Anolis sagrei: one gene and its partners. The protein of the gene in region 1 binds, or shares a complex with, the protein of each later gene. Links are inferred from orthologs where the notes say so. Each region holds a gene or a part of one and is shown in the gene's direction. Other genes may lie near its edges.

Evidence for each region.
Region 2: the proteins of RPS6KA1 (region 1) and SNTG1 are in contact, whole or in part, in a crystal structure (PDB 7PC8), measured with the Homo sapiens proteins. The link is inferred for Anolis sagrei from reciprocal best matches to the Homo sapiens genes RPS6KA1 and SNTG1. Residues at the interface, in NP_002944.2 of Homo sapiens: Arg728, Lys729, Leu730, Pro731, Thr733, Thr734, Leu735; in NP_001274742.1 of Homo sapiens: Gly67, Phe68, Gly69, Leu70, Ser71, Ile72, Lys73, Gly74, His78, Ile80, Ser85, His118, Glu119, Val122, Leu125, Arg126, Arg141.
Region 3: the proteins of RPS6KA1 (region 1) and MAGI1 are in contact, whole or in part, in a crystal structure (PDB 5N7F), measured with the Homo sapiens proteins. The link is inferred for Anolis sagrei from reciprocal best matches to the Homo sapiens genes RPS6KA1 and MAGI1. Residues at the interface, in NP_002944.2 of Homo sapiens: Pro731, Ser732, Thr733, Thr734, Leu735; in NP_001028229.1 of Homo sapiens: Arg480, Gly481, Phe482, Gly483, Phe484, Thr485, Val486, Val487, Gly488, Asp490, Lys499, Ser500, His532, Val536, Phe539, Gln540.
Region 4: the proteins of RPS6KA1 (region 1) and SNTG2 are in contact, whole or in part, in a crystal structure (PDB 7QQL), measured with the Homo sapiens proteins. The link is inferred for Anolis sagrei from reciprocal best matches to the Homo sapiens genes RPS6KA1 and SNTG2. Residues at the interface, in NP_002944.2 of Homo sapiens: Pro731, Ser732, Thr733, Thr734, Leu735; in NP_061841.2 of Homo sapiens: Gly82, Gly83, Leu84, Gly85, Leu86, Ser87, Ile88, Lys89, Gly90, His94, Ser101, Lys102, Phe104, His134, Val138, Leu141, Arg142.

Annotation. Positions count from the first base shown.
Region 1 is NC_090034.1:73,338,765-73,346,515, reverse strand, and holds the start of RPS6KA1 (ribosomal protein S6 kinase alpha-1), read left to right. Parts: upstream 1-4,740; 5' UTR 4,741-4,864; coding exon 4,865-4,945; intron 4,946-7,751. UniProt on the Homo sapiens protein: Serine/threonine-protein kinase that acts downstream of ERK (MAPK1/ERK2 and MAPK3/ERK1) signaling and mediates mitogenic and stress-induced activation of the transcription factors CREB1, ETV1/ER81 and NR4A1/NUR77, regulates translation through RPS6 and EIF4B phosphorylation, and mediates cellular proliferation, survival, and differentiation by modulating mTOR signaling and repressing pro-apoptotic function of BAD and DAPK1.
Region 2 is NC_090024.1:52,402,677-52,409,701, reverse strand, and holds the start of SNTG1 (gamma-1-syntrophin), read left to right. Parts: upstream 1-4,021; 5' UTR 4,022-4,586; intron 4,587-7,025. UniProt on the Homo sapiens protein: Adapter protein that binds to and probably organizes the subcellular localization of a variety of proteins. May link various receptors to the actin cytoskeleton and the dystrophin glycoprotein complex.
Region 3 is NC_090022.1:35,422,848-35,429,823, reverse strand, and holds the start of MAGI1 (membrane-associated guanylate kinase, WW and PDZ domain-containing protein 1), read left to right. Parts: upstream 1-3,967; 5' UTR 3,968-4,342; coding exon 4,343-4,664; intron 4,665-6,976. UniProt on the Homo sapiens protein: Plays a role in coupling actin fibers to cell junctions in endothelial cells, via its interaction with AMOTL2 and CDH5. May regulate acid-induced ASIC3 currents by modulating its expression at the cell surface.
Region 4 is NC_090021.1:120,627,271-120,634,816, reverse strand, and holds the start of SNTG2 (gamma-2-syntrophin), read left to right. Parts: upstream 1-4,527; 5' UTR 4,528-4,978; coding exon 4,979-5,062; intron 5,063-7,546. UniProt on the Homo sapiens protein: Adapter protein that binds to and probably organizes the subcellular localization of a variety of proteins. May link various receptors to the actin cytoskeleton and the dystrophin glycoprotein complex.

The DNA of each region.
Region 1 (7,751 bases):
TTTTTGTTAAAAATGTAATACAAATGTCTGGCTGCTGATGACACGATAAATAAATAAAAATAACCAAAGTGGTATGTCACAACTATGGGAAAATAGATACTATTATGATTAAAATACCAAACAAAATCACAATAAACAATCAATTTGAGAAACAGCAAAACAACAGAATAGACAAATCAACCCAACCCAACTTAAAACACTTGGAGCAATGCCAAGGTTTTACCCTAGAGGCCCAAGAGCATTGGAAAATTGGCATCAGTTGTAACTTATTAACAGCAGCGGTAATATCTATTTCAAATGTTTTTATCCTGCCATTGCTTTTATGATCATATGCAGTAAATCAATAGAATGAATAGGCTTTAAGTTCTGCCAAGAAAACCTTTCTTATTCACTTTGGTAACAATAAGCAAGAGAAATACCCACTAAGCACACTACATCCATACTAATCCAGCCTTTGGCCTGCTGGGTGAAATGATGGGAGTGGTAGTCCACCGTCACTGGAAGAGTGCCAGGTTGGAGACGTTTGCATAATCATCTGTGTTTTATGATCTGTTTACCTGCTTCGTCTTTCTGGCACTGTGCTGAATCAAAGTGCATCAGGATTTCACTTGTGATTCAAACTGAGCTTCAAATGCTTGAATTCTCCATTATCGTTGTCAGGTGTATTGTCAATGTGCCAGTTTGCTAGAGATTGAAGCTTGAGATAATCCAAGCGATTAATGAAGGGGTGGAAATGGAACAGAACAGTTTCGTGCTTCTCCCCAAAGCTGTTCTGGGGTGCATTTGCAGGCACGTGTCTGTCCCATTAACTCAGTGGACGCTGGCCATTAACTTCTTCATAATACCAAGAATGACCTTGACAACTAGGCAACAGATATACTATCTGCCTTGTGCCTTTGGAGTAATTCAAAAGGAATGATTTGTTTTAAACTGTTTCCTCTATTTGCAGTTGACACACTTGACCTCTAGTTTGTTGATTTCCCAGCAGTTAAACCAGGGATCTCAGAACTCTTTCCAAGGATGATCTCTGTTATTGAGCCACAGTAAATCTGCCCCTCTTGGGAAAATTTATAGTTCATCAAGAGCACCGAAATAAATATATGATTTCTTCCTTTTCTTTTTTATTAAAAGCCCTTTCTGAAGGTTTGGAACTGGGCAAAGTTCAAGATCATCGAGAACGAAACAGTAGTAGCTATAACTCCCTAAAACTGTATTGCATCTTTTTTATGGTTGTTGTAGGCTTTTTTCGGGCTATATGGCCATGTTCTAAAGGCATTTTCTCCTGACGTTTCACCTGCTTCTATGGCAAGCATCCTCAGAGGTAGTGAGGTCTGTTGGAACTAGGAAAAAGGGTTTATATATCTGTGGAATGACCAGGGTGGGAGAAAGGACTCTTGTCTGTTGGAGCTAGGTGTGAATGTTTCAACTGATCACCTTGATTAGCATTTGATTGCTTGGCAGTGCCTGGAGCAATCTTTTGTTGAGAGGTGATTAGATGTCCTTGTTTGTTTCCTCTCTGTTGTTGTGCTGTTCTTATTTTAGAGTTTTTTAAATACTGGTAGCTAAATTTTGTTCATTTTCATGGTTTCCTCCTTTTCGTTGAAATTGTCCACATGCTTGTGGATTTCAATGGCTTCTCTGTGTAGTCTGACATGTTGGTTGTTGGAGAAGCCATTGAAATCCAGCTGTCCCCTGCCATGCATTGCTGTGACCCAGTCTGTTGATCTGGAAAATAAAGTAATGAGAAAGTGGTGGTTTCTAATATATGTAATTTCTTTATGCTTGTGGGTAAACAATATTTCTTGCTGTTTCTTTGTCAGTGTTGATGTGGAGAGTGTCTGGTTTGCCCATCCTGGAACATGCAATATATCATTGTCCTTCTTTAAGGGTCCCTTTGAAATCTATGATACTATATCTGTGTGTGTGTGAATCATATCTATCTATCTATCTATCTATCTATCTATCCATCCATCTATATCTATGGCTGGATGGCTCTTTGTCTGGAGGGCTTTGATTACGTTTTGTTGCCCTGATGAAGGGAGTTGGATTGGATAGCCTTAAGTATTTTCTGTTGGTCATGGGGGTTCCGTGTGGGAAGTTTGCCCCAATTCTGTTGTTTGTGGGGTTCAGAATGCTCTTTGTATGTGAACTTTGAATCCCAGTGACTACAACTCCCAAATGTCAAGGTCTATTTACCCCAAACTCCACCTGTGTTCATATTTGGGTGTATTGAGTGCTTGTACCAAGTTTGATCCAGATCCATCATTGTTTGAGTCCACAGTGCTCTTTGGATGCAGGTGAACTACAACTCCAAAACCCAAGGCCAATGCCCACCAAACCCTTCCAGTATTTGCTGTTGGTCACACAAGTTCGGCATGCTAAGTTTGGATCAATTCCATTGTTTATGGAGTTCAGAATGCTCTTTGATTGTGGGTTAACTCCCAAACTCAAGGTCAATGGCCACCAAAGGTCAATGCCCACCAAACCCTTTCTGTTGGTCAAGGGAGTTCTGTGTGCCATGTTTGGTTCAATTCCATCATTGATGGAGTTCAGAATGCTCTTTGATTGTAGGTGAACTGTAAATCCCAGCAACTACAACTCCCAAATGACAAAATCATAATTGTTTGAGTGATGGTCACTCCTTGGATTGTGAAACATTTTGTTGTCAAATTTGGTGTGATTTTGTTCATTGGTTCTTTTATTTTTAAGGTACTCATTATGCACAGAGCATTTATATATATATAGATAGAAGATAGATTGTTCTTTCATGGTTTTCTTGCATTGCACTACAAAACAAGTGCACTGTGCTGAGGAATTCATTCCATTTTTTCAAGCTGGAACCCAGCAGTCTGATTTGGTCCTTGGTTCAAAACGTTTGAGGACCCCTGCTTTCAGGAGTGGACTCCCCACTTTAAATCCCAAGGCTGCCTATTGCAGACTCCTGGGATTTGCTGGTGAGGGAGGAGCCTTAAAAATCCCCAGCCACAGAAACCCCAGGCTTGACTAAACTACAAATCCCAGAACCCTGCAGGAGACCCCTCTCTTGGAGGTTGCTGGGAGTGGCAGTTCAGCCTTGGGCTCCTGAGAAGTTCCTGGAGCTGGCAATTCGACCCCAGGGCCAGTGGCAGCCTTACCCTGGGGTCCCCCTTCTCCTCCTTATGGGGGATTTAGGGGGGTGGCAGTGCAGCTTTAGGCTTCTTCTCCTGGTGGATGCTGGAAGGTGCAGTCCAACATTGGCCTCCAAGATGAACTGAGCCACCTCAACTGGGCTCTACAGGCCAATGGATACTCCACCTCAGAAATCAGAAGAGCTGCAAGACCAAGAACAAGCCACGAGAGTCAAGATGAAGATCCACCCAGAGGAAAAGTGTTCCTGCCATACATCAAGGGAACCACTGACCGCATAGGGAAGCTGATGAGGAAACACAACATACAAACAATCTACAAACCCACCAAGAAAATCCAACAAATGCTACGTTCAGCAAAGGACAGAGGGATCCACTCACCTCTGCAGGAGTCTACCTTATACCATGCAGCTGTGGACAAGTCTACATAGGGACCACCAAACGCAGCATTGCCCAGACACGAATCAAGGAACATGAAAGGCACTGCAGACTGCTTCAACCAGAGAAATCAGCCATAGCAGAGCACCCAATGAAGCAACCTGGACACAGCATATTATTTGAGAACACAGAAATGCTGGACCACACCAACAACCACCATGTCAGACTACACAGAGAAGCCACTGAAATCCACAAGCATGTGGACAATTTCAACAGAAAGGAGGAAACCATGAAGATGAACAAAATCTGGCTACCAGTATTAAAAAACTCAAAAATTACAACAGCAAAACAACAGAGAGTAAACAATCAGGCACATCAATTCACTCTCAACAAGAGATTCCCCCCAGGCGCTTCCAGGCCATTGAATGCAAATCAAGGTGATCAGCTGAAACATTACCCTGGTCATTCCACAGATATATAAACCCATTTTTCCTACTTCCAACAGACCTCACTACCTCTGAGGATGCTTGCCATAGATGCAGGCGAAACGTCAGGAGAAAATGCCTCCAGAACATGGCCATATAGCCCGGAAAAACCTACAACAACCCATTGGCCTCATGGTTGCCTGGGCTGGGCGCCTCCTCTTGGCGGGAATCTGGAAGTAGCTCCAAATCTAGGCCCCGCCTGTGGGCGGGCAGTGGGCGTGGCCTCTCAGCCCTGAGCTATTAGGCCCCGCCTCTTGAAGGACTGTGGGTTGGCGCTCCAGCCTTAGGACCCGCCTCTGGAATGGCGGTGGGCGTGTCCTCAAAGCTGTAGGCCCCGCCTCTTGAAGGAATGTGAGCGTGGCGCTCCCCCTGTAGGCGAATGGTGAGCGTGGCCTCCCAAGCCGGAGCTTCTTGAAGGATAGTGGGCGTGTCCTCCAAGCCCACAGCCTTTTGAAGCGTCCTAAGCCTGAGTCTCTTGAAGGACTGTGGGAGTGGCGCTCCAGGTTTGAGATGGTGGTGGGCGTGTCCTCCAAGCCTTGAGCCCCTAGGCCCCGCCTCTTGAAGGACAGTGAGCGTGGCCTCCCAAGCTTGAGTCTGTAGTCCCCGCCTCTTGACAAAGGGTGGGCGTGGCTTCCCAGACTTAGGCCCCGCCTGTAGGCGGGCGGTGGGCATGACATCCCATGCCTGAGTCTCTAGGCCCCGCCTCTGGGCGGACGGTGGGCGTGGCTTCCCAGACTTATCCCCTCCTTCCAGCAGGAGTTCCGCACAGACGCTGCGGTCTGGCGGGAAGAAGAGAGCAGCTTCGTTCTCTCCCTCAGCTTCGGCGGGAAGACAGGCAGGCATTGCGGCTCCCGCTCGGAGGAAGAGGCCGCCGCGATGCCGCTCGCGCAGCTGGGAGCCGAGCCCTGGCCGGAGGGGAACATGGAGCTGGTGGACATGGAGCTGGACGAGGCCGAGGTAGGCAAGCACGGAGGGAGGGAAGAGGGGGCGCCGCGGACCCCCGGGAGCAAGGCCCCGCCAGGCCGGACCCTTCCCTCTCCTATCCCCCCTCCCTCCACCGTCATTAGAGTAACCCGACCCTCTGCATCGACCCTATCGATCCCTATCGTGTCCTTCCCTGTAAGAGCCCTGGCGTCCTCCTTGCCTGCCTACCTTCCTGGGTTTGGAAAGAGTTGAGCAACTGGAAAGCCTTGCCTGGCTCATTGAGAGGGGCAAGGAGCCCCCAGGTTACAAACAAGGGTTGTGCTTAAGTTGCATATGTACGTAATTCAGAACAGGTACATTTCTTCAAGGGTAACTCCAGCTAAACATACACACACACGCGCGCACACATATATATCAGGCATGGGCCAACTTTAACCCTTCAGGTGTTTTGGACTTCAAGTCTCACCATTCCTTACAGCCTCAGCCCCCTTCCTTTTCCCCCTCAGCCACTTAGGGGCATGGGCGAACTTTGGCCCTCCAAGTGTTTTGGACTTCAAGTCCCACCATTCCTAACAGCCTCAGACCCCATTCTTTTCCCCCTCAGCCACTTAGGTGTAACTCCAGCTAAACACACACACACACACACACGCACACATATATATATATATATCGGGCATGGGCCAACTTTGGACTTCAACTCCCACCATTCCTAACAGCCTCAGCCCCCTTCCTTTTCCCCCTCAGCCACTTAGGGGCATGGGCGAACTTTGGCCCTCCAAGTGTTTTGGACTTCAAGTCCCACCATTCCTAACAGCCTCAGATCCCATTCTTTTCCCCCTCAGCCACTTAAGTGTAACTCCAGCTAAACACACACGCACACATGGGCCAATGTGTGTGGCATGGGCCAATGAGCCCTTCTGGTGTTTTGGACTTCAACTCACACCATTCCTAACAACCTCAGGCCCCTTCCTTTTCCCCCTCAGCCACTTAGGTGTAACTCCAGCTGAACACACACACACACACACACACATATATATATATATATTGGGCAAGGGCAAACTTTGGCCCTCCAAGTGTTTGGACTTCAACTCCCACCATTCCTAACAGCCTCAAACCCCATTCTTTTCCCCCTCAGCCACTTAGGTGTAACTCTAGCTAAACACACGCGCACACACACACACACCTTCCTTTTTCCCCTCAGCCACTTAGGTGTAACTCCAGCTAAACACGCACACACACACACATATATATGGCATGGGCCAACTTTGGCCCTCCAAGTGTTTGGACTTCAACTCCCACCATTCCTAACAGCCTCAGGCCCCTTCCTTTCCCCCCTCTGCCACTTAGGTGTAACTCCAGCTAAACATACACACACACACACACATATATATATATCAGGCATGGGCCAACTTGAGCCCTTCAGGTGTTTTGGACATCAACTCCCACCATTCCTAACAGTCTCAGACCCCATTCTTTTCTCCCTCAGCCACTTAAGTGTAACTCCAGCTACATACACAGACACACACACATATATATATCGGGCATGGGCCAACTTGAGCCCTTCAGGTGTTTTGGACTTCAAGTCCCCCCATTCCTAACAGCCTCAGACCCCATTCTTTTCCCCCTCAGCCACTTAGGTGTAACTCCAGCTAAACACACGCGCATACACACACACACAAACACACACACACACACACACATATATATATATAGTGCATGGGCCAACTTTGGCCCTCCAAGTGTTTTGGACTTCAAGTCCCACCATTCCTAACAGCCTCAGACCCCATTCTTTTCCCCCTCAGCCACTTAGGTGTAACTCCAGCTAAACACACGCGCATACACACACACACAAACACACACACACACACACACATATATATATATATAGTGCATGGGCCAACTTTGGCCCTCCAAGTGTTTTGGACTTCAAGTCCCACCATTCCTAACAGCCTCAGGCCCCTTCCTTTCCCCCCTCAGCCACTTAGGTGTAACTCCAGCTAAACACACACACACACACACACACACACAAATGTATCAGGCATGGGCCAACTTGAGCCCTTCAGGTGTTTTGGACTTCAGCTCCCACCATTCCTAACAGCCTCAGACCCCATTCTTTTTCCCCTCAGTCACTTAAGTGTAACTCCAGCTAAACATGCACACACATATACATATGCATGGGCCAACTTTGGCCCTCCAAGGGTTTTGGACTTCAACTCCCACCATTCCTAACAGCCTCAGGCCCCTTCCTTTTCCCCCTCAGCCACTTAAGTGTAACTCCAGCTAAACACACACAAACACATATATATCTCGGGCATGGGCCAGCTTTGGCCCTCCAAGTGTTTTGGACTTCAACTCCCACCATTCCTAACAGCCTCAGGCCCCTTCCTTTTCCCCCTCAGCCACTTAAGTGTAACTCCAGCTAAACACACACAAACACATCTATATAAATAAAAATGTAATGTTCGTTTGTGATATTCACAGAACTCAAAAACCACTGGACAAATTGACACCAAATTTGGACATAATACATTAACAACCCAATGTATGTCCTTCACTCATAAAAACACCAAAAAACAAAAGTCCCAAAAAGCTAAATGATGAAAAGCTACATGACAATACAGAAAAAAAGGAAGAAAAGGAGGAAAAGAAAGGAAAGAAAAAAGGAGAAGGAAGGAGAGACGGAAAGAAAAAAGGGAAACAAGGAAAGAAAGAGGGAGCGAAGGAAGGTGGGAAGATGTAGAAAAGGAGGGAAGGAAAGAAGGAAAGAGAAAAAGAAGAAAAGAGAAAGCAGAAGAGGAAGAAAATGGGGGAAGGTAGGAAGAAGGGAAGGAAGGAAGGA
Region 2 (7,025 bases), on another chromosome or scaffold:
CAAGCAAGGAGTAGAAATGAGGAAGCAGTGACTTGGAAATAGGGGAGAAATGTGATGACTGGGAAGAGAGATCCTGGATCAGCCCTTCTCTTCCACTTTTCTGATACTCTTCCGCTCCTAATAATGGCAGCTCTGCATACAACATGAGAAGTGGCTTTGTTGCAAGTGGCACTGCTTGGAATAGAGCAGGGAGGGAAGGATGGTGATAGTGGGAGACAGAAAGTTGCAAAGAAGGGAGGTAACAATCTATGAAGGAGGGGGAGAGAAAAGGGTGATGGGATGCTGGGCATGTGCGACAAAGAAGGCCTTGCAGAAGAGGACAGTGTCATGGACTTGTTCTGCTTAATGGGAAGGCTGGTTCTGGCCTTAAGTTTTTTTTAATGGTTGAGTTTCACACCATCTTTCTCTCACTTTGGGGCCCAAGGAAAACAAAATGCTGCTAACAGAAATCCACCAGTCCTACTATAAAACAGATGTCAGATGTAAGTTTTTCGGGCTGAATGTCCATGTTCCAGAAGCATTCTCTCCTGATGTTTTGCCCACATCTATGGCAGGCATCCTCTAAGGTTGAGGGGTCTCTTGGAAGCAAAGTAAGTGGGGTTTGTCTATCTATCTGTGGGATGTCCAGGGTGGGGGAAAGAACGCTTGTCTGCTTGAGGCACAGAAGTCATTGTTAAGCAGGTAGATATAGCAGGGTTTGGTTCCCAGTTAGGTGATCCCTCGTTGACCGAGTAGGATAGTCTTTCAAGGTCAGTGTACTGGTGGGTCCTTAGGTGACTGTGGAGCCCTATTCTTGATCTGTATCTTCTCCCGCAGTGAGAGTATTGGTTTCCTCTTGGCACGTTTGTCTCTTTCACCCTCCATTTGTGCCTCTTCAAATTCTACAGCACTGCTGGTCACAGCTGACCTCCAGCTAGAGCACTCAAGGGCCAGAGTGTCTATGCCAGAGTTTTTAAGGTTGGCTTTGAGCCCACCTTTAAATCTCTTTTCCTGCCCTCCAACATTCCATTTTCCATTCTTGGGTTTGGAATAGAGCAACTGCTTTGGGAGATGGTGGGGCATCCGGACAATGTGGCCTGTCCAGCGGAGATGATGGCGGACGACCATCGCTTCAGTGGTGGTGGTCTTTGCTTCTTCCAACACTCTGACATTTGTCCTCTTGTCTTCCCAAGAGATTTGCAGGATTTTCCGGAGGCAACTCTGATGGAATCACCAGGAGTTGCATGTGGCATCTGTAGACAGTCCACGTCTCGCAGGCCTTTAGCATGGTTGGGAGGACAATAGCTTTATAAACAATCACCCTACGGATGTCCCATGTCCCTGTCCTCAAACACTCTCTGCTTCATTCAGAAAAAAGCTGCACTCACAGAGCTCAGGCGATGTTGTATTTCAGTGTCAATGTTGACTTTTGTTGAGAGATGGCTGCCAAGGTAGCAGAAATGATCAACATTTTCTAATGTTACACCACTAAGCTGGATTTCTGGCATTGGAGAGGGATTGGCTGGTGACTGCTGGAAGAGCACTTTGGTTTTCTCAATGTTCAATGACAGACCGAGCTTCTCATATGCTTCTGTGAAGGTATTTAGAGTGGCTTGAAGGTCTTCTTCTGAATGCGCAGGGATGATGTTGTCATCAGCATCAGCAGGAGAGTGGAAGAGGAGAAGCAAGGATGGTCCAAGGTCCTTGTAGTGGGAGTGCTTCTCTTTAAAGATCAGAATTATAGCGTTGGAAGAGACCACAAGGGCCACTTAGTCCGACCCCCGCCATGCAAGAAAACACTGTTGTGTTGTAGTGATTCTTGTTTGTGCTTCTCGCTCATGGACCACTGAGAACTGTCTTGGCTTTAAGTTCAGCACTTCATCCTGCAGGCTCAGTGATCAAACACGTTTCCTATGCTTCCGGAACATAGCCATACAGCTCGTACTCACAGCAACCCACTGATTCCAGCCACGAAAGCTTTCGACAACACACTTTTCCCTTGCTCGAGGGCTTCCAATGTTCCCTTTGGCTTGAAATCTGGAAAAGGGCTGGGGTGATGAGCCGGGGTGGCATTGCATTTCAGTACTTTATTGAATGTATACTCCTCCTTTCCTCCTGGGATGGGATTTGATCCTCGCTGTCACCCACTATTCGCTGGACAAGCTGATTCGGTGAGAATGTCCCAAATCAGGAATTGGGGTCCAAATCATGACCAAAGGATCTTCGGGAGGGCTCGGATGTACTCTGGGAAAGGGGAGAGAATAGGGGCTGTTGGGAGTCAGAAATGTAGGATCTGTGTTGTTGTGAGTTTTCCGGGCTGTATGGCCATGTTCCAGAAGCATTATCTCTTGACGTTTCGCCTGCATCTATGGCAGGCATCCTCAGAGGTAGTGAGGTCTGTTGGAAACTAGGAAAATGGGGTTTATGTAGGATCTTTTCTCCAGCGATGTTGTGAAGTCCCTGTTAAAGTCCGGTTCCCTCCTCCTCCTCCTCCCCTTCCTCGTTGGAAGCCAAGAAATACCTAAGTACTAGGGACCCCACGTCCCTCGGATGCCCCCCACCCCCCCAAAAAATCCCTCGAACTGCAGGAAGAGAACCCAACTTGGAGCAACACATGACTTCTGAAAGACGCCAAAGTCCTGAATTGGCTTTGCTCCGAGTCTGCTTCTTCCCCTTCGTGAGCTGAGCAATTCTGGGGCTGGCCAGGGCTCGCTTTCTGTGTCGCTTCTGCTTTTGATTCCCTGCAGATCTCCTTGCAGCCGGACGCTTCTTCCAACGGGCAAAGCAAGCGCAGCGGGGAGGGCGACGGGGAAGCTCTTCCAAGCCGCGTTGACTGCCGGAGGTCTGCTTTCATTCCAAGTCACCCGCTTGGATTTGTGGCGAATCTCTCTCGGTCAGGGAGCCTCGGGAGTTTTTTTCCCCCCAGTTCCTTCCTCCGAAACCCTGAGCTGGTCGGCAAGCACCCAGCTCTGGACTGGGTGCTTGCCAGTGGCGCCCTAGGGCCTCATCCCACTAGAGAAGGGATCCACTTTAAATCCGGTTACTGCCGCCTGCAGAATTCCGAGGAGAAACCTTTAACAGTTTCAGGTAAAGGTTTTCCCCTGACATTAAGTCCAGTCGTGTCTGACTCTCGGGGTTGGTGCTCATCTCCATTTCTAAGCCGAAGAGTCGGCGTTGTCTGTAGACACTGCCAAGGTCACGAGGCCGGCATGACTACATGGAGCGTCGTTATCTTCCCGTAGGAGCAAATTTAGCAGCTCAGCGGTTTAACCCAGTGTGCCACGCGGGGTGTGTGTGTGTGTGTGTGTGTGTGTGTGTAAATTAAACCAAACTATAAAACCCAGAATTTTGCAGAAGGCAGAAACCGGATTTAAAGTGGATTCATTCTCTAGTAGAAACATAAAAGTTGGAATAGACCCCAAAAGACACACTACTAAAACGCTCCGGACAGATGCCCATCCATCCTCTGCTTAAAAACCTCCAGAGAAGGAGACTCCACCACACTCTGGGTAGGCTAGGCAGCATATTCTTCTTACCCTCAAGTTCTTACCCTCAAGAAGTTGCCTACCCTTTGAATCCAGAGCAGCAGAAACCAAGCTTGCCCCCTCCTCCATGTGAGATATGTAAACATGGCTCTCCTATCCCTTTCTCTCAGCCTTCTTTTCTCGAAGCTGAACCTACAGAGCTCACTGAGACACTTGTCTGAATCCATTGCTCCGTGTCCTAGTCTCCAGAGCGGCAGAAAGCAAGCTTGCCCCGTCCTCTATGTGTCATATGTAAACATGGCTCTCCTCTCCCTTTCTCTCAGCCTTCTGTTCTCGAAGCTGAACTCACACTGAGGCGCTTCTCAGAGGGCTTGCCTTCCAGACCCGGGAAACTTCCGGCCTCCCGCTGAAGCTCTCCCTCGCGGACGGCTAAGAGTCCTCATCCCTTTCCCCCAAAGCGCTTCCCCGCGTTTCCTTTCGCCGAGCGGCGGCTCCACCTGCAGAGACTCAGGCGTGCCAAAGCCACGCGCGTCTGCGCCCCCTCCTCTTGCTGCTGCCGGGGGAGGAGGAGGCAGCAGAGGGAGAGATTGAGAGGGAGAGGAGGAAGGAAGGAAGGAAGGAGGCGCGCTCAGTGGGAAGAGGCGAGGCGGGAGAGACCCAGCCTCTCCTTGGCGTTGGATCCAGCTCGAAGCCCGCAGCCATGGAGCACGACGCCTCCGGACTACGTCGCCAGCGTGGGGAGCCGCGGCCCCTCTTTTTCGCGGTCCTCCTCCCGCTAAGAGGCTGAGCCTCGCTGTCTCACCCCCCCCCCCCATCCGTCTTTCCTCTTCCGTTTTCGGATGGACGCCGCGAAGTAAAGCCGCCGCTTCTCTCTCCCCGTTTGTTTCTCTGTCTCTTGGAGTCCCTTGGCAGCCCCCCACGCACCCACCCATTCCCTCCTCCCCCCACACCCCTCCCAGACCCGCTTTGGAGCCATGGACGCCGCGCTGGGAGGCGAGAAGGTGGCGCCTCCTGCCCCGGCTTCGCTCCCTTGACTCGGCTTGGAAATAATTCAGGGAAATAAGTTTCCAGAGGCGGTTCGGACGGAGTTGAGGAGCCCGGCGTTGCAGCGCCCGCCAGCAAGTAAGTGAGGGAGGGAGATCGGCCTCTCATGACGAGGATGCAGGTTGATTGATTGATTGATTGATTGATTCCTTTAATGAGGAGACTTTGCTGGGGTACAGGGCGCGCAATGAATCTATGTCATGGGTGTCGTTTGGAGCCCCCTTTGGCACTGTGGGTTAAACAGTGTGCCCTCGGGACTGAAGACCGAGAGTGTGGATGAGCTCCCCCTGTCAGCTCCAGTTCCCCATGCGTGGACGTAAGAGAAGCCTCCCACAAGGAGGGTAAAACATCAAAACATGCGGGCGTGGTGTAGACGGCCAATTCTCTCACAGCAGAAGCGACTTGCAGTTTTCTGAAGTCGCTCATCACACACTCACACAATTGTCGGCATGCACTGTCTATTCAGCTCTGTTTCATACTCTTCTTTCAGCACCCAGGAGCCTTTTAAAGCCTTGGCTTTGGAAATAGCTTGAGGTCCCTGAAACCCTGTGTTTCCCTGGAGCTTTTGACAAGAGAGGCGAACTCATCTGCTAAACATTCCCCACCTCCCATTGAGTCACCCGCCCTTGGATTTCTTTGCCTCAGTTATGTACTGCCCAGGGGGTTGGGATCCCCACATTGTGGCTCTTTCTTCTTGCCTTTGATGTTGCTAATGTGCTCTGTATGACTTTGTCCCTTGGCATTTAGGACCCTTGGCAGGATTGTGGTGGAGGTGGTCCCAAATTCCCACTAAGCACAGTGTGTTCAAAACACAGAGAAAGAGCAACACTAAAAAAGCAGGGAAATTCCAGACAAGAATCAATCAGGGCAGCTAACACCTCCCCCACCCCCCAAAAAAGAATTCCCCCAAGCAGAAACCAGCCAGGCTTTGAAGCTACATGACAATTCAGTGCTAATCAAGGTTGAATGTTGTGAATTTTCCAGACTGTATGCCCATGCAGGACCTCACAACCTCTGAAGATACCTGCTGTAGATGAAGGCGAAACATCAGGAGAGAATGCTTCTGGAACATGGCCCAGCAGCTTGGAAAAGTCACAACAATGCAGCGATTCTGTCTATGAAAACCTTCGAGAATACATTTGACAGGCCTCACAACCTCTGAGGCTGTTTGCTTTAGATCAGGGGTCCTCAGACTTTTTAAACAGAGGGCCAGGACACAGTCCCTCAAACTCTTGGAGGGCCAGAATATAATTTGAAATAAAAAAAAACATGAATGAATTCCTACGCACACATCTTATCTGTAGTGCAAAAAACACTTAAAAGCAATACAATAATAAAAATGAATAACAATTTTAACAAATATAAACTTATTAGTATTTCAATGGGAAGTGTGGGCCTGCTTTTGGCTGATGAGATAGGATTGTTGTTGTTGTTGTTGTTGTGTGCTTTTAAGTTGGTTCAGAATTAGGTTGACCCTGAGCAAGGGCTGGCTAAATGACCTTGGAGAGCCGTATCTGGCCCCTGGGCCTTAGTTTGGGGACCCCTGCTGTAGATGTAGGTGAAACGTCAGGAGAGAGTGCTTCTGGAACTTGGCCCCACAGCTTGGAAAAGTCACAACAACCCAGTGATTCTGGCCATGAAAGCCTTCAGCAATAAATTGAACAGACCTCACTACCTCTGAGGATGCCTGCCATAGGTGCAGGTGAAACATCAGGAGAGAATGCTTCTGGAACATGGCCCTACAGCCTGGAAAAGTCACAACAACCCAGTCATGAAATCCTTCAACACTACACTAATCAAGGTGGCCAATTGCAACATTCACACTTATCTCAAGCAGATAAGAGTTCTTTCTCCCACCCTGGACATTATTCCACAGATATATTAACCCCACTTGCCTAATTTCAAAGAGACCTCACAACCTCTGACAATGTCTGCCATAGATATAAGCAAAACATCAGGAGGGAATGCTTCTGGAATATGGCCATACAGCCTGGAAAACTCACAGCAACACAGAGAAAGTCACTGATTCTCATTTTCCGTGTTGTGCACATGCATGGGCTTAAAAAAAAATCTGTAGGAAGAAGAGGCAGGCCTGAAGAGTTGTGGTTCTTTTATCCCGAGACCTATCAGTGTGACAAATCTGTCACACTGGAAACACTGAGATTTGCAGAGCCCTCTTTCAGTAAATGAGCTCGCTTGCCTAACTCTCTTTCACATGGCCTTGGGAATGAAGCCACAAAGGAAGAAGGTATATTCTGTGAATTTGCGCAAACTTCCCCCTTCCCTAGTTCCCCTCCATATTTTTCTCCCAAACTGAAAACTGCCTTTTTACATTAGGCTTCCTTCTGATATTTATTCTGCAAAGCTTTCTTTTTAAAGCAGCTTTTTAAACAGATTTGCAGCCAATCATAGGCATTTATCTGTCATCTCAATGTATTCCACTTAGCACATTTAAAAAAGAGCATTTGCAGCTGTAGCTTGATGCTGTAGAGATGAATTTCTCTGCATAAAATAATT
Region 3 (6,976 bases), on another chromosome or scaffold:
TTAGGTTTATTCATATCATGATCTGATCACCATGCTCAATATATCCCATATGCATGGGGGTATTGGGGTAATGATATAAAAGGTTTGCTAGGGTAGACCCTCTTTCACTCAGACTCAGCCCCCCCCCCGAACCAAACTGAACCCCCCCCCCCCCTGAAACAAAATCCTGGCTACGGGCCTGCCGGCAGCTGCAGAAAGACTTGCTGACCAAAAGGTTGGCAGTTCAAAGCCGTGCTAGCTCCTGCTAACCTAGCAGTTCAAAAACACATAATGTGAGTAGATCAATACATACCACCTTGGCAGGAAGGTAAAAGACACCCATGCCAGCAAACTTGACCAGGATGGTCTACGGACAACAGGCTCCTTGACATGGAAAATGGAACAAGAGCATCTCCCCATGGCCAGAGTCCAGCATTGCCTCCAGATGCTGGAGATGGAAAGGGAAACTTTTGCCTTTGATTGTGTATTGTATGTCATTGCTTACTATATAAAAGGTGTGCAGTCTTGGCTCTGCCTTCTCCTCTCCTCTGCTTTAGTTTCCTCTGTTTATAGGCCACCACAATATTCTAACTTCCTTTGTATTAGTTTTTGGGTGGAGCATAAAAACCCCTAGTGACCAGCCTTAGTTGGTCTATTCCATTTCCTGTATAGAGCTCCTTTGCTGGACTCCTCCTTTTTTCTGCAGCAGAGAACAGTGGCTTGGGACATTGTCTGGTATCCTAGGCCTGAGCAATCAAAACAGGCATTCTTAGCACCTGCTGCATTTAGCAGTATTTTTATACCAGCAGTCCAAAGGACAACAGAAGCTTTTGGTCAGCCTAAACTTCACAGGAGAGAAGATTAAGACAGACTGCAAGCAACAATTTATAATCCAGTGCTTTACACCAGAGCCAAAAGACTTTCAAAGATTCCAGAGAGTTGACTGCAGCCAGCAAAATCTCATTTTGTAATGTATTGTTATGATAGTCCCGGGTGAAGTTAACCCTTTATTCATCTTGTTTCAGTAAACACATTTGGTTATCTTTTCACCTTACCTAAAGTGCCTCTGTCTGCTAAGGGTCTTAATCTTAACCGAAGGTATATAGATAGCCCCCAAGTAAAGCCAGACAATATAGTTTTCCCAAAGGCTCGGGCATGCCATCACAAAAAGCATTGAATGTTTGCCTATATATGTGGATACTGTAATCTACTCCGAGTCCCCTCAGGGAGATAAAGTAGAATATAAATAAAGTGCATTATTATTATTATTGTTATTATTATTAGTAGTACCTATAATGGATTTTCTATATTAATGAAAACAATATGTACAGCACCACTTTTTTTCCAACCTGCATTGACCCTGCTGTAAGATTCATAGCAACTTTGAGGCGGGTATGGTTTTTTAAAAATCCCCTAAAAGCCACTTTTTTCAGGTTGTTCATGCCAAATAGATTTGCAACAGCCCTGGAAGAAAGGCCACAAAGCAGATGCCCCCCTGAACTGGATAAACTCATTCGAGTTGGTGTCACTTTGTGTAATAACACACAGTGTCACTCTCATGGACCTCCTCCCATATCAGACTGCACTACAATATTATAGGTAAAATGCCACAAAAGTTGACAAAATCAGCAACTATTAAAAAACCCAGCAGCAGCAAACACAACAGTGCATGCAGACAACTCCCTGCAGTTCCAAGTGTCATTGTAATTGGGTAATAATGACAGCCCTGCCTTAAGCACATGCGCATTAGAAAGTTCAAAAAGTAAATCAGCATGATGTTTTTTCCTTGTAGGGATATTGACAAGACGATAATGTAAACAGGGATCATGTGAAATGCTTTTGTGGCTATACCTCACTGAAGATAATATTTCTATAACAAATTATAACTTTATACTGCACAGTTTTTAAGAAGTCATTATGGTGTAACTAGGGTTGGGTGAACTTTGGAGGTCCTGAAAATATTTTGGTGCCAATTTATATATTTACTGTATTTTTACCCCACTCTATCTCACCCCGAAGGAGACTCCGAGCAGCTTCCAAGCTGATAATAATTCAATGCCACAACAAACAAAAACATATAAGAATAACATATACCATACATGAAAATCAGTTTAAAAAATCATTAAAAATTATGACAAATCAATACACTAAAATAAACTATTAAAACAACACAAGATCCAAAGTCATGATCCAGGAGTCATTCCAATTGTGTTACAGTCACTTCATGGCTGCCTCTTGCACTGTGCTACTCTTTGAAAGCTTGGTTCCACAGCCAGGTTTTTAGTTTACACACACACACGTGAAATATATACATATAAATAAATATAAACAATAAAAATAAATATATATCCAATATAAATAATAATGAGCTGTACAATAAAATAGTTTTTGGAATGATACAAATCAAATTGTAAGGAAACAATGTTTATTTTCATATACTTCTACTCTGTTTAAAAACTCTACAGAAGGAGACTTCCCCACGCTCCAAGGCAGCTTCTTCCACTGCCAAACAGTTGTTTTCTGGGAGAAAGCACCCGTGTCTGTTTTAGCTGAATGTTGCAATTGGCCACCTTGATTAGCATTGAATAGCCTTGCAGCTTCAAAGACTGGCTGCTTCCTGCATGGGGGCATCCTTTGTTGTGAGGTGTTGTTTCCTTGGTTAAATGTTGCAATTGGCCAGCTTGATTAGCATTGAGTTGCCTTGTAGCTCCAAAGCCTGGCTGCTGCCTGCCTAGGGGAATCCTTTGTTTGGGAGGTGTTAGCTGGCCCTGATTGTTGGGAAGTGTTAGTTGTTTCCTAGGAGAAAGAACTCTTGTCTGTTTTAGTTGAATGTTGCAATTGGCCACCTTGATTAGCATTAAATAGGCTTGCAGCTTCAAAGCCTGGCTGCTTCCTGCCTGGGAGAATCCTTTGTTGGGAGGTGTTCAGTTGTTTCCTGGGAGAGAGAACTCTTGTCTGCTTTAGTTGAATGTTGCCATTGGCTAGCTTGATTAGCATTGAATAGCATTGAATAGCCTTGCAGCTTCAAAGCCTGGCTGTTTCCTGCCTGGGAAAATCCTTTCTTGGGAGGTGTTTAGTTGTTTCCCGGAACACAGAACTCTTGTCTGTTTTAGTTCAACGTTGCAATTGGCCACCTTGATTAGCATTGAATAGCCTTGTGGCTTCAAAGCCTGGCTACTGCCTGCCTGGGGGAATCCTTTGTTTGGGAGTTGTTAGCTGGCCCTGATTGTTGGGAGGTGTTAGTTGTTTCCTAGGAGAAAGAACTCTTGTCTGTTTTAGTTGAATTTTGCAATTGGCCACCGTGATTAGCATTAAATAGGCTTGCAGCTTCAAAGCCTGGCTGCTTCCTGCCTGGGCGGAGGGAATCCTTTATTTGGATCCTGTCCATTGGGATTGATTTTCAGTGTTTAATTATTGTGATTTTAAATTGTTTGATGTGCTTATTTATATTGTTTTTTGTATTTTATTTTTATATTTTATTGTCGCTGTATGTTGTTTATTTGCATTGTTGTACCCTTGGGGACGGCGCTCCATGCAGTCATGCCGGCCACATGACCTTGGAGGTGTCTACGGACAACGCCGGCTCTTCGGCTTAGAAATGGAGATGAGCACCACACCCCAGAGTCAGACATGACTGGACATAATGCCAGGGGACTACCTTTACCTTTACCTTACCCTTGGGGAGATGTTGGCGGGGTATAAATAAAGTTTTATTATTATTATTTGGGAAGTGTTAGCTGGCCCTGATTGCTGGTTTCCTGTCTGGAATTCCCCTCTTGTTCTGAGCGTTGTTCTTTACTGACTGTCCTGGTCTGAGAGGTTTTGTTTTTTTTCTTCATTCCTGTCCAGGAATGAAAAGGGAGCGCGGAAAAGCCTGGGAAGAGGAGGAGGAGGAGGAGGAAGAGCCTGGCTGGGAAGGGAGGCGGGGAGTGCCCTTGTGCGCATGCGCCACCGCTTCCTATCGCTCGCCTGCCCCCCCCCCCCTCTTGTCTCGACGAGGAGCGCAATGTAACAAAACAAGAGTCGGCTTTGTCGGCGCTTAAAGGAGCCGCGGCGGGTCGGGGCCAGAAGAGCCGGGCAGGAAAGAGAAGAAGAGGTGGCCAAAGTGGCCCAGAAGAAGAGGTCGGGGCCAGAAGAGCGTGGGAAAAGCGAGCCGAGGATTACAGTTCGGGAAAGGAGGAAGAAGAAGAGGGGAGAAGGAAGGGACCGCGGGGAGCCAAAGCAGCATGTTGTTGGAGGAGGCTGCGGAGAGGCGTCGGGCAAAGTTTGCGCAGTGATGGCTTGAAGGGGAAAGTTCTCCCGGGAAGGCTCCCCCGTCTCTCTCGTTCTCTCGGTCTCTTTCTCTCTCTCTGCCTCGCTGGCCATGTCGAAAGTGCTCCAGAGGAAGCACCACTGGGCGGCCAAGGTGCACCAAGTGGCCATCCGGCGCCGAGGGGCCCGCCTGGGCTTCACCGTCCTGGGGGGCGCCGAGCAGGGCGAGTTCGCCTACGTGGGCGGCCCCGACGGCCAGGAGGAAGGAGCCGGCGGGGAAGGAGAAGGCGAAGGAGGAGAAGCAGCCCCGCTGGGCGAAGGGGAGCTCCTCCTCGAGGTCCAAGGGCTGCCCGTCTCCGGCCTGCCCCGCTACGACGTCCTGGCCCTCCTCCGCAGCTGCAAGGAGCCCATCCTCCTCAAGGCCGTCAGACAAGGTACACGACCCGGCACCCTCCCGTTTGGCTCCCTCTCTCAGCCCGCGTTACATGATCCCGTGTGGGTCCGGACGGTGTTGAACTCTATGTCAGAGTAGATGGGGCTCGAGGTTGCTCTTTCCCTGTGCTTGCCTCAGGCGCTGCGGTTCCTTGGGCGGCAGTCCCCCCTCTCTCGTGGGACCCTCAAGACGGATGCACTTTGAGTTAATGTGGGTTTTCCGGGTTGTATGGCCATCTTCCAGAAGCATTCTCTCCTGACGTTGCTCAATTGCAGGATTCACACTTCCCCTCTCATGAGTTCTCTCTTGAGGGTCTCTCATGGGACAAATGCAGCTTGACCCCTCTTTGGGTTGCTGTGAGTTTTCTGGGCTGTGTGGCCATGTTCTAGAAGCCTTCTCTCCTGACGTTTCTCCTGCATCTATGGCAGGCATCCTCAGAGGTTGGGAGGTCCATTGACCAGGGATTCCCCCAGGCAGGAAGCAGCCAAGCCTCAAAGCTGCAAGGCTATTCTATGCTAATCAAGGTGCTCAATTGCAGGATTCACACTTTCCTCTCATGAGGTGGGAGAAAGGACTCTTGATTATTGGAGGCAAGTGGGAATGCGGCAATTGATCCCCCAGGCAGGAAGCAGCCAAGCCTTGAAGCTGCAAGGCTGATCTATGATAATCAAGGCACTCAATTGCAGGATTCACACTTTCCTCTCATGAGGCGGGAGAAAGAACTCTTGACTGTTGGAGGCAAGTGTGAATGCTGCAATTGATCCCCCAGGCAGGAAGCAGGAAGCTGCAAGGCTATTCTATGCTAATCAAGGTGCTGAATTGCAGGATTCACCCTTCCTACTCTTGAGTTCTCTTTTTGGAGTCTTTTGTGGGACCCCTTAAGACGAATGCAGCTTGACCCCGCTTTGGGTTGCTGTGAGTTTTCCGGGCTGTATGGTCCTGTTCCAGAAGCATTGTCTGCTGACGTTTCGCCTGCATCTATGGCAGGCATCCTCAAGATGAATGCAGCTTGACCCCCACTTTGGGTTGCTGTGTGGCGATGTTCCAGAAGCCTTCTCTCCTGACATTTCTCCTGCATCTATGGCAGGCATCATCAGAGGTTGGGAGATCCACTGTACTGGGATTCCCTCAGGCAGGAAGCAACCAAGCCTTGAAGCTGCAAGGCTGATCTATGTTAATTAAGGTGCTCAGATGCAGTATTCACACTTCCCTCTCATGAGTTCTCTTTCGAGTTCAGTCCCTTCTCTTGAGTTCTCTCTTGAGGGTCTCTCATGGGACCCCTCAAGATTAATGCAGCTTGACCCCACTTTGGGTTGCTGTGAGGCTGTATGGATTCCACAGAACTGAGCCAAGGCAAGTAAAGTTGGGTCAATGTGTTATTGAAGCCTTCAACAATGTGTTGTTGAAGGCTTTCATGGCTGGAATAACTGGGTTGCTGTGAGTTTTCCGGGCTGTATGGCCATGTTCCAGAAGTATTCTCTCCTGACATTTCACCTGCATCTATGGCAGGCATCCTCAGAGTGTGTGAGGCCTGTTGGAAACAATGCAAGTGGGGTTTATATATCTGTGGAATGCTCAGGGTGGGAGAAAGAACTCGTGACTGTTGGAGGGAAGTGTGAATGCTGCAATTGATCACCTTGCTCACCTTTACTCTCATGCCTTGTTCTTGGTCTTGCAGCTCTTCTGATGTCTGTGGTGGAGTATCCATTGACCTGGGATTCCCCCAGGCAGAAAGCAGCCAATCCTTGAATCTGCAAGGCTATTCTATGCTAATCAAGGTGCTCCACTGCAGTATTCACACTTCCCTCTCTTGAGGGTCTCTCAAGATAAATGCAGCTTGACCCCACTTTGGGTTGCTGTGAGTTTTCCACAGATATATAAACCCCACTTGCCTAGTTTCTAACAGACCTCACAACATCTGAGGATGCCTGCCATAGATGCAGGCAAAAATGACAGGAGAGAATGCTTCTGGAACACAGCCATGCAGCCAAGAAAACACAGCAACCAGTAATTCCACCCATGAAAGCCTTCAACAACACACTGACCCCACTTTACTTGCCATGGCTCAGTTCTGAAGAGTCCTGAGAGCTGTAGTTTAGTCAGTTACTGGCACTCTTGGGCAGAGAAGGCAGAAGACCTTGTCAAAACTGCAGCTTCTCTGATTCCAGAGCATTCAAGTGGTGCCAAACTGCTTACATTCTACAATAGTGCTGCACCTTTATTTGTTTGTGTGGCTTTGCATTCCTGGTGTCTTCCTCAATCACCATGGGGCCTTGGGTGGCAATTTTGGGCCTTTCCATGCAGACCGTATGC
Region 4 (7,546 bases), on another chromosome or scaffold:
AGCAGAGTTGATGTTGGAGGACCATCACTTCAATGCTGGTGGTCTTTGCTTCTTCCAGCACACTGACGTTTGTCCGCTTGTCTTCCCAGGAGATTTGCAGGATTTTCCGAAGGCAGCGCTGATGGAATCGTTCCAGGAGTTGCATGTGACGTCTGTAGACTGTCCATGTCTCACAGGCATATAGCAGGGTTGGGAGGACAATAGCTTTATAGAGAAGCACCTTGGTATCCCTACGGATGTCCCGGTCCTCAAACACTTTAGCGTTTATGTAGAGGCAGTGAATACCACACTGTTATGAATGCATAACTCCAGGTTATGCATTCATAACTCCCCAACAGGATTCTGATTAAACTAAATAGTATTTGGTATGTTTGGCACAAAATCAAATAATTGACAGAAAACAAGAATGGGGAAATTTCAGTGGGTTTACTCTAGGAAGAATTATCCGTTCAGTTTAGACCAATACTTAGAAGTATTCCTTTGTTGTTAATTAGGCTGTAGACAAATAAATTTGCACATTTCTTTATGAGACTCTGGGCACATCCATACAGGGTGGAAAATGTGTGCCATTCTGGATTTTTATGTGGGGAATCCAAACAACACCTCACGTAAAAACGCATTAATTTGCCACAAAGCAGGAAAACCCTAATGAAAAAAAGGCAACAAGTGGTTTACCATTGCCTTCTTCTGATTAACAGGATGGTACTTCAATATTCATAACTGTGGCCAGGTTTGGGAATAATGCCTATGCAAATAACATTAATCAGATTTTCAAAATAGTGGCTTCTGATATATTTTTAGTGGCAGTTTGCAGGGGAAATTGAATTACAGTATAACCCCCCCCCCCCCCCCAATATCTGTTGTACCAATATCCATGGTTTCATCTATCCATGTCCAACAAAATGTCCATGTCCTTTTTAGACATTTTCTAATTTCCTCCAGCATGACTCTATAGTATCCTGCAGCTGAAAGTCCTTTTTTTCATTAGGGTTCACTATTATCCACAGTTCTGTATATCCACATGAAGTTTGGGAACATATTCCTTGTAGATACAGGAGGCACACTATACAGTATTTGATTTCAATTAGTTATTGTGAAGCAATAGCAGGATACATAAAGGCCAATTCACAAGGACACATATACATATTTACTCAATGAATGGGCTGGAGTCACTAAAATTATTACATTTCAGCTAATGACATACAATATGAAAGGGGGGGGGGTACGGCAACAGTCATCCTCCAGATGTCTTGACCACAGCTTCCCAATAGTGGCAGCCCCCCAAAACACACATGATCCTAACGCTCTATCTATGATGTTCAATCTGACAGGGTGGTTTTTATTCATCAAGTGTCAAGCACAAACTCATCCTTCTTAATAATTAATTCCATGTATGGCCCATCTCTCCTTCAAACAGTTAAGCTTTCTTTTACTTAGGACTATTTTAACTGAAACTTTCAAAGCACATCCACAATGCAATTTCAAGCAAGTGTCATTTTCCAATCTGTTCCTCGCATCTCCCCAACCTCCTCTCCCCCATCCATCCTTCTAATAGGGAATTATAAGGGATGAAATTTTGTGCAAGAAAGATGCCTCGAAGAATGACAGGTTTTTACATTTTGAAGTAGTTTTGCCCTCCTAAAATATGAAGACCAGATTGCTTCACACTGAAAGTAATAGAATCCCTTCTCTGAACTGCTTGAGGACCAGAAATGTTTAGGATTTCAGATTTTAGAATACCTACATTTGCATATATATACATAATGAGATATCTTGGAGATGGGCCCCATGTCTAAACATGGAATTCATTTATGTTTTATATACACCTTATATACACCTAGCCTGAAGGTAGTTTTAAGCCCAATTTGTTTTAATTATTTTGTGCAGGAAACAAAGTTTGTGTACAGTGTACAAGAAAGCAAACATGTTGTTATTTTAGCCACCCATGAGGACAATTGTCAATTTTAGAATATTTCTGAATTCAGAATTCTGGATAAAGCATGCCTGACCTCGTTATGTTTCAATGTGTTTTTTTTTGGTTGGGTTTTTTTTTTTTTGTGAAAATCATGCAGGTGTGTTTCAGTGTGGGCTTGTGCACCACAGAGGTGATTTGAGGATGAGGGAAATTGTGAGGCTTCTTCAAATCTCCATGCTGAAGGGTTCTAAATGGCAAACTGTCAGAGTTTGTACCCACACCAATGTATACACGTTTATAATATATATACACATGTATATATGCATGTAGATGAGGCCTACAAAACGTGTGGCCCTCCGAGTGTTTTGGGATTCAGCTCCCAGAATTCCTGGTCATTGGATAAACTGGCTAGGGTTTCTGGGGGTTGGAGTCCCAAATACCCATAGGATGAGATGTATATGTGTATGTGCGTGTACCGCATTTCTTTGATCCTAAGGCCCCTGACGACTAGCACTGCTCATTCGCTTCTGCTAGCTTCCCACTACACGGCGGGGATACCAACTTCCCCTGCAACTTGTAACCTTACTTTCTGGATAACTACCATAGTTTGCCCTACAGCCAGAGAGCACAACGAACCCCACCAATGATGTATCTAGAGCAGTGGTTCTCAACCTGTGTGTCCCCAGGTGTTTTGGCCTACAACTTCCAGAAATCCCAGCCAATTTACCAGCTGTTAGGATTTCTGGGAGTTGAAGGACAAAAGATCTAGGGATCCACAGGTTGAAAACCACAGGTCTAGAACAAACTTGCCCAACATAACAAACTTTAAGTACTGATGGAATTTTTCAGGGCTAACCTAGCATGATATGAGTTGTAGTTCACACACAACCTTATTCATTTTGTACAATTAAAAATAGACTTTTTCAAATAACCTGGGCAACGCTGGGTATCCAAACTTGTATCTTAAATAAATAATAATGTTTTTTTTTAGGTGATCCCTAGTTGTCTGAGTAGGATAGTCTTCCAAGATCAGTGTACTGGTGGTGGGTCTGTAGGTGACTGTGGAGTCCTATTATTGATCTGCATGTTCTCCGGCAGTGAGGGCATTGGTTTCCAGATAGAAGGGGTCCTGGTCAGGGTTGGCTTGATGTGCCTTCTTCTTGGCACATGTCTCTCTTTCGCCCTCCATTCATGCCTCTTCAAATTCTGCAGCACTGCTGGTCACAGCTGACCTCCAGTTGGATCGCTCAAGGGCCAGGGCTTCCCAGTTCTCAGTGTCTATGCCAGAGTTTTTAAGATTGGCTTTGAGCCCACCTTTAAATTTCTTTTCCTGCCTGCTAACATTCCATTTTCTGTTCTTGAGTTTAGAGTAGAGCAACTGCTTTGATAGATGGTGGTCGGGCATCTGGACAACATGGCTGGTCCAGCATAGTTGATGGTGGAGGGTCATCGCTTCAATGCTGGTGGTCTTTGCTTCTTCCAGCATGCTGGCATTTGACCACTTGTCTTCCCAAGATATTTGCAGGATTTTCCAGAGGCAGCACTGATGGAATCATTCCAGGAGTTGCATGTGACGTTTATAGACTGTCCAAGTTTCACAAGCGTGTAGCAGGATTGGGAGGACAATAGCTTTATTTTTTTTAAAAAAATAATTCATTATTGAAGTTTCCTTATAATAGGGAGAAGTGTTGGGTATGGATATGGAGGTGAGGGGAGGGAGGGAGGGAAAAAAGAAGAGGGAGGGAAGGGAGAAAAAAAGAGGGGTGTGTGGATTAAGGGTTGTGAAGGGACAAGGGTGATGTGAAGGGGGGGGGGTGGGATGTTGACTTCCCAATCTTCCTTCCGATGTTCCTCTCTTTTCCTTCTCTTTATTTGTTTCTTCATTTCTAATTGCGGCTCCTCTTCCTGTCGAATATTTCCCCTTAATGTTTGTTAAGATAAATTTTCCAGTACTAATCTTCCAGTAAGACTCTGGTTCTTCCTTGTTTTTATAGGTACTCATAAACAACAGCTTTATAAACAAGCACCTTGGTCTCTCTAGGGATGTCCCGGTCCTCAAACATTCTCTGCTTCATTCAGAAAAAGCTGTACTCGCCGAGCTCAGGCGGTGTTGTATTTCAGTGTCAATGTTGACTTTTGTGGAGAGGTGGCTGCCAAGGTAGCGGAAATGGTCAACATTTTCTAATGTTACACCATTAAACTGTATTTCTGGCATTGGAGAGGGATTGGCTGGTGACTGCTGGAAGAGCGCTTTGGTTGTCTTGATGTTCAGTGACAGGCCAAGCTTCTCTTATGCTTCTGTGAATGTGTTTAGAGTGGCTTGTAGGTCTTAGTAATAATAATGTGAATGGGTGTATGTACAATGTGTGTGTGTGTGTGTGTGTCTCCCTCGAAGTGGTGTGTGTGTCTTCACCTCACATAGTAGACCCTCTTTCCTTCAGAGAAGGCATGGGCAAACTTCGGCCCTCCAGGTGCTTTGGACTCCAACTCCCACAATTCCTAACAGCCGATAGGCTGTTAGGAATTGTGGGAGTTGGAGTCCAAAGCACCTGGAGGGCCGAAGTTTGCCCATGCCTGCTTCAGAGCGTCCACATGTTAACCCCCCTGCCCCCCGAGGAGAGAAGCGCGAGAAAGCGCGCGAGAAAGCAGATCTGACTAGAAACAGGGGGGAAAGCAGCAGCATCCTCCCAAGGGAAGCGCGAGGAGGAGGAAGAGGAGGAGGAAGAGGAGAAGTTCAAGAGGGAGGTCCGCAGCCTCCCTCGCGCTCTCCTCGCGCGCGGACGGACCCTGCCAACCTCCTTTCCATCCCCACCTAGCGTTCCCTCTTCCTCCTCTTCCTCCTCCTCCTCTTCAGTGAGCGAGGCACGCGTGGAGCAGAGGCAGGAGAGGATGCTGGAGAGCCCTGCTCGGCCCTAATTCCTGGCTCTCCTTCTCTCTCTCTCTCGGAGGGAATCATTGCGTTTGTTACTTCTAAGGGAGGCGGGGAGGGAGCTTCAATGCCTGGCCCGACTCTAGCCGAGTTCGCCGATCAGAAGGGACTCTAACCCAGCTGCATGGGAGGACATGAACGTGGCGGGGAAGCCGTCTCCTCCCCCTCCTCCGGGGCAAGCGCCGGACCGGCCCGACAGCCTCCTCGTCCCCACTTGGGCAAGTAGCTTCTCTCTCTCTCTCTCTCCCAATCTCTCTCTCTCTCTCGGGTGCTTCCTCTCCCTCTGGGTCTCCCCTTTCCCCTGCTCTTCTGGACGCTTGTGTCTGCCGTGGCTCATGGCCGGGGAACCTTCGGAAGAGGCGCCTTCAGCAAAGCCAGTGCCCTACTCCTCGCCTTGAGCTGGGGCACTTCCAGCTGCATCCATGCCCGCCTTTGCCCGCCCAGACCTCCTTCCCTCCTCGGTTGCTCGGGTTTGGGCTTGAAGGAAAGCTTCTCCAACTTATAGAGAGGGAGGAGGAGGAAGAGGAAGGGATTGCTCAGGGATGAGGACTTGGGTTTTCCTTTCTGAACCGAGAGGAAAAACCCCTTCTGAATGGAAGCATCTGCTGCTCTTGTTGCGAGGAGACCTGCATTCAAGGTCCATCTGGCAGGAGGGAGGGGAGAGAGTTGTGTCAAGAAAAGTTAGCCTTCTTGGAAACTGACTTTTTGCTTGGAGTGCAGGTTGCCCTTCCCTGGCACTGGTTCATCCATATCTAGCTATCTGATCTATCTGATCTATCTGTCTACCTATCTATCATCTGTCTATCTGCAAACTTTGCGTTTTGTTTGTTTGTTTGTTTTTAATGCAGTACAACTGTTTGGTTCGCTCCTGATACGATAAATAAATAAAATCTGTCTATCTAATCTATCTACCTGATCTATCTATCTATCTAATTTCTATCAATTATAACCTGCCTATCTAATCTATCCAACTAATCTGTCTATCTGATCTATCCAATCTCTCTGTCTATAATCTGTCTATCTAATCTATCTATCTATCTATCTATCTATCTGATCTATCTATCTTATCTATCTATCTAAGGCTGTTAGGAATTGTGGGAGTTGAAGTCCAAAACATCTGTAGGGCTGAAGTTTGCCCATGCCTGATCTAATGTATCAAATCTATCTAATCTATCTATCTATCGATCTATATCTGATCAATCTATCTAATCTATCTATAATCTGTCTAGCAAATATATCTTTTATCTAATCTATCTATCTATCTATCTATCTATCTATCTATCTGATTTATCTATTCTATTCTATCTATAATTTGTTTATCTATCTAATCTATCATTCCATCTGATCTATCTATGTAATCTTATCTGTAATCTGTCTATCTAATCTATCTTTTATGTAATCTATCTATCTATCTGATTTATCTATTCTATTCTATTTATAATCTGTTTTATCTAATCTATCTTTCAATCTAATCTATCTATCTGATCTATCTAATCTATCTAATCTATCTATAATCTATCTAATATATCTATCTACTCTGTCTATCTGATCTATCTAATCTGTCTATCTATAATCTGTCTATCTAATCTGTTTAGCTGATCTATCTCTCTATCTATCTATCTGTCTGTGTATCTATCTTATCTATCTATCTAAGGCTGTTAGGAATTGTGGGAGTTGAAGTCCAAAACATTTGGAGGGCTGAAGTTTGCCCATGCCTGATCTAATCTATCAAATCTATCTATGTAACCTATCTGATGTAATCTATCTATTTACTCTATCTAATCTAAATCTATCTATCTATCATCTATCATTCCATCTTTGTTTGAAGGAGGCTAAGAAAGATTAGGCAGTCTTCAGTTTTCTTTCCCTGTTCCAGAGCTTCCCTTTCCCACCATGAGCTTTTCTTTCAGTCCTGCATGGGTGCCTCTACACCAGGCATGGGCAAACTTCAGCCCTCCAGGTGTTTTGAACTTCAGCTCCCACAATTTCTAACAACCAATAGACTGTTAAGAATTGTGGGAGTTGAAGTCCAAAACACCTGGAGGGCTGAAGTTTGCCCACGCCTGCTCTACATTGTAGAATTATTTATTTATACCACAAAATGGACCTGACTATGGCCTAAATAAATTGATACCAGATAGGGTTTTTAATCTTTTGAATGTTTAATTGTGTTTTTTGTTAGTCACTAATTACGTTGATGTCGGTTTTTGTAATTTTTTAATTAGATATGACTGTGTTTATGACGGTGCTGTCTACTTTTATTGTATGTTATGTTTTTGCTTTCTATATGTTGTTCACCGCTTTGAGTCCTGAACCAGAAGAAAAGCGGATAGAAATAAATAAATAAATAATTTATCTCCCCAAAAAGGACTCAAAGTGGCTTAACATAAAAGCATCAGCATAACATTTTAAAGATATACAAATATACGGACATTAAAATAGGCTTAAATATATAAGTATTATAAAATTCCCACTTAAAATTCCCAGAATTAATACAGTTTGGCATCACTTTGACTTCCATGGTTGAGGCATCATGGGAGTTGTAGTCAAAGGAGGCACCAGCAATCTCTGACAGCCAAGGCTAAAGACATTCTAAAACTTCAGCTCTGATGATTCCATAGTATTACGCTATTAGCTAAAGTGAGGCCAAACTGCATTTATTCCCCAGTGTAACTGCTCCCTCTCTGTATGTGCATGCAGGA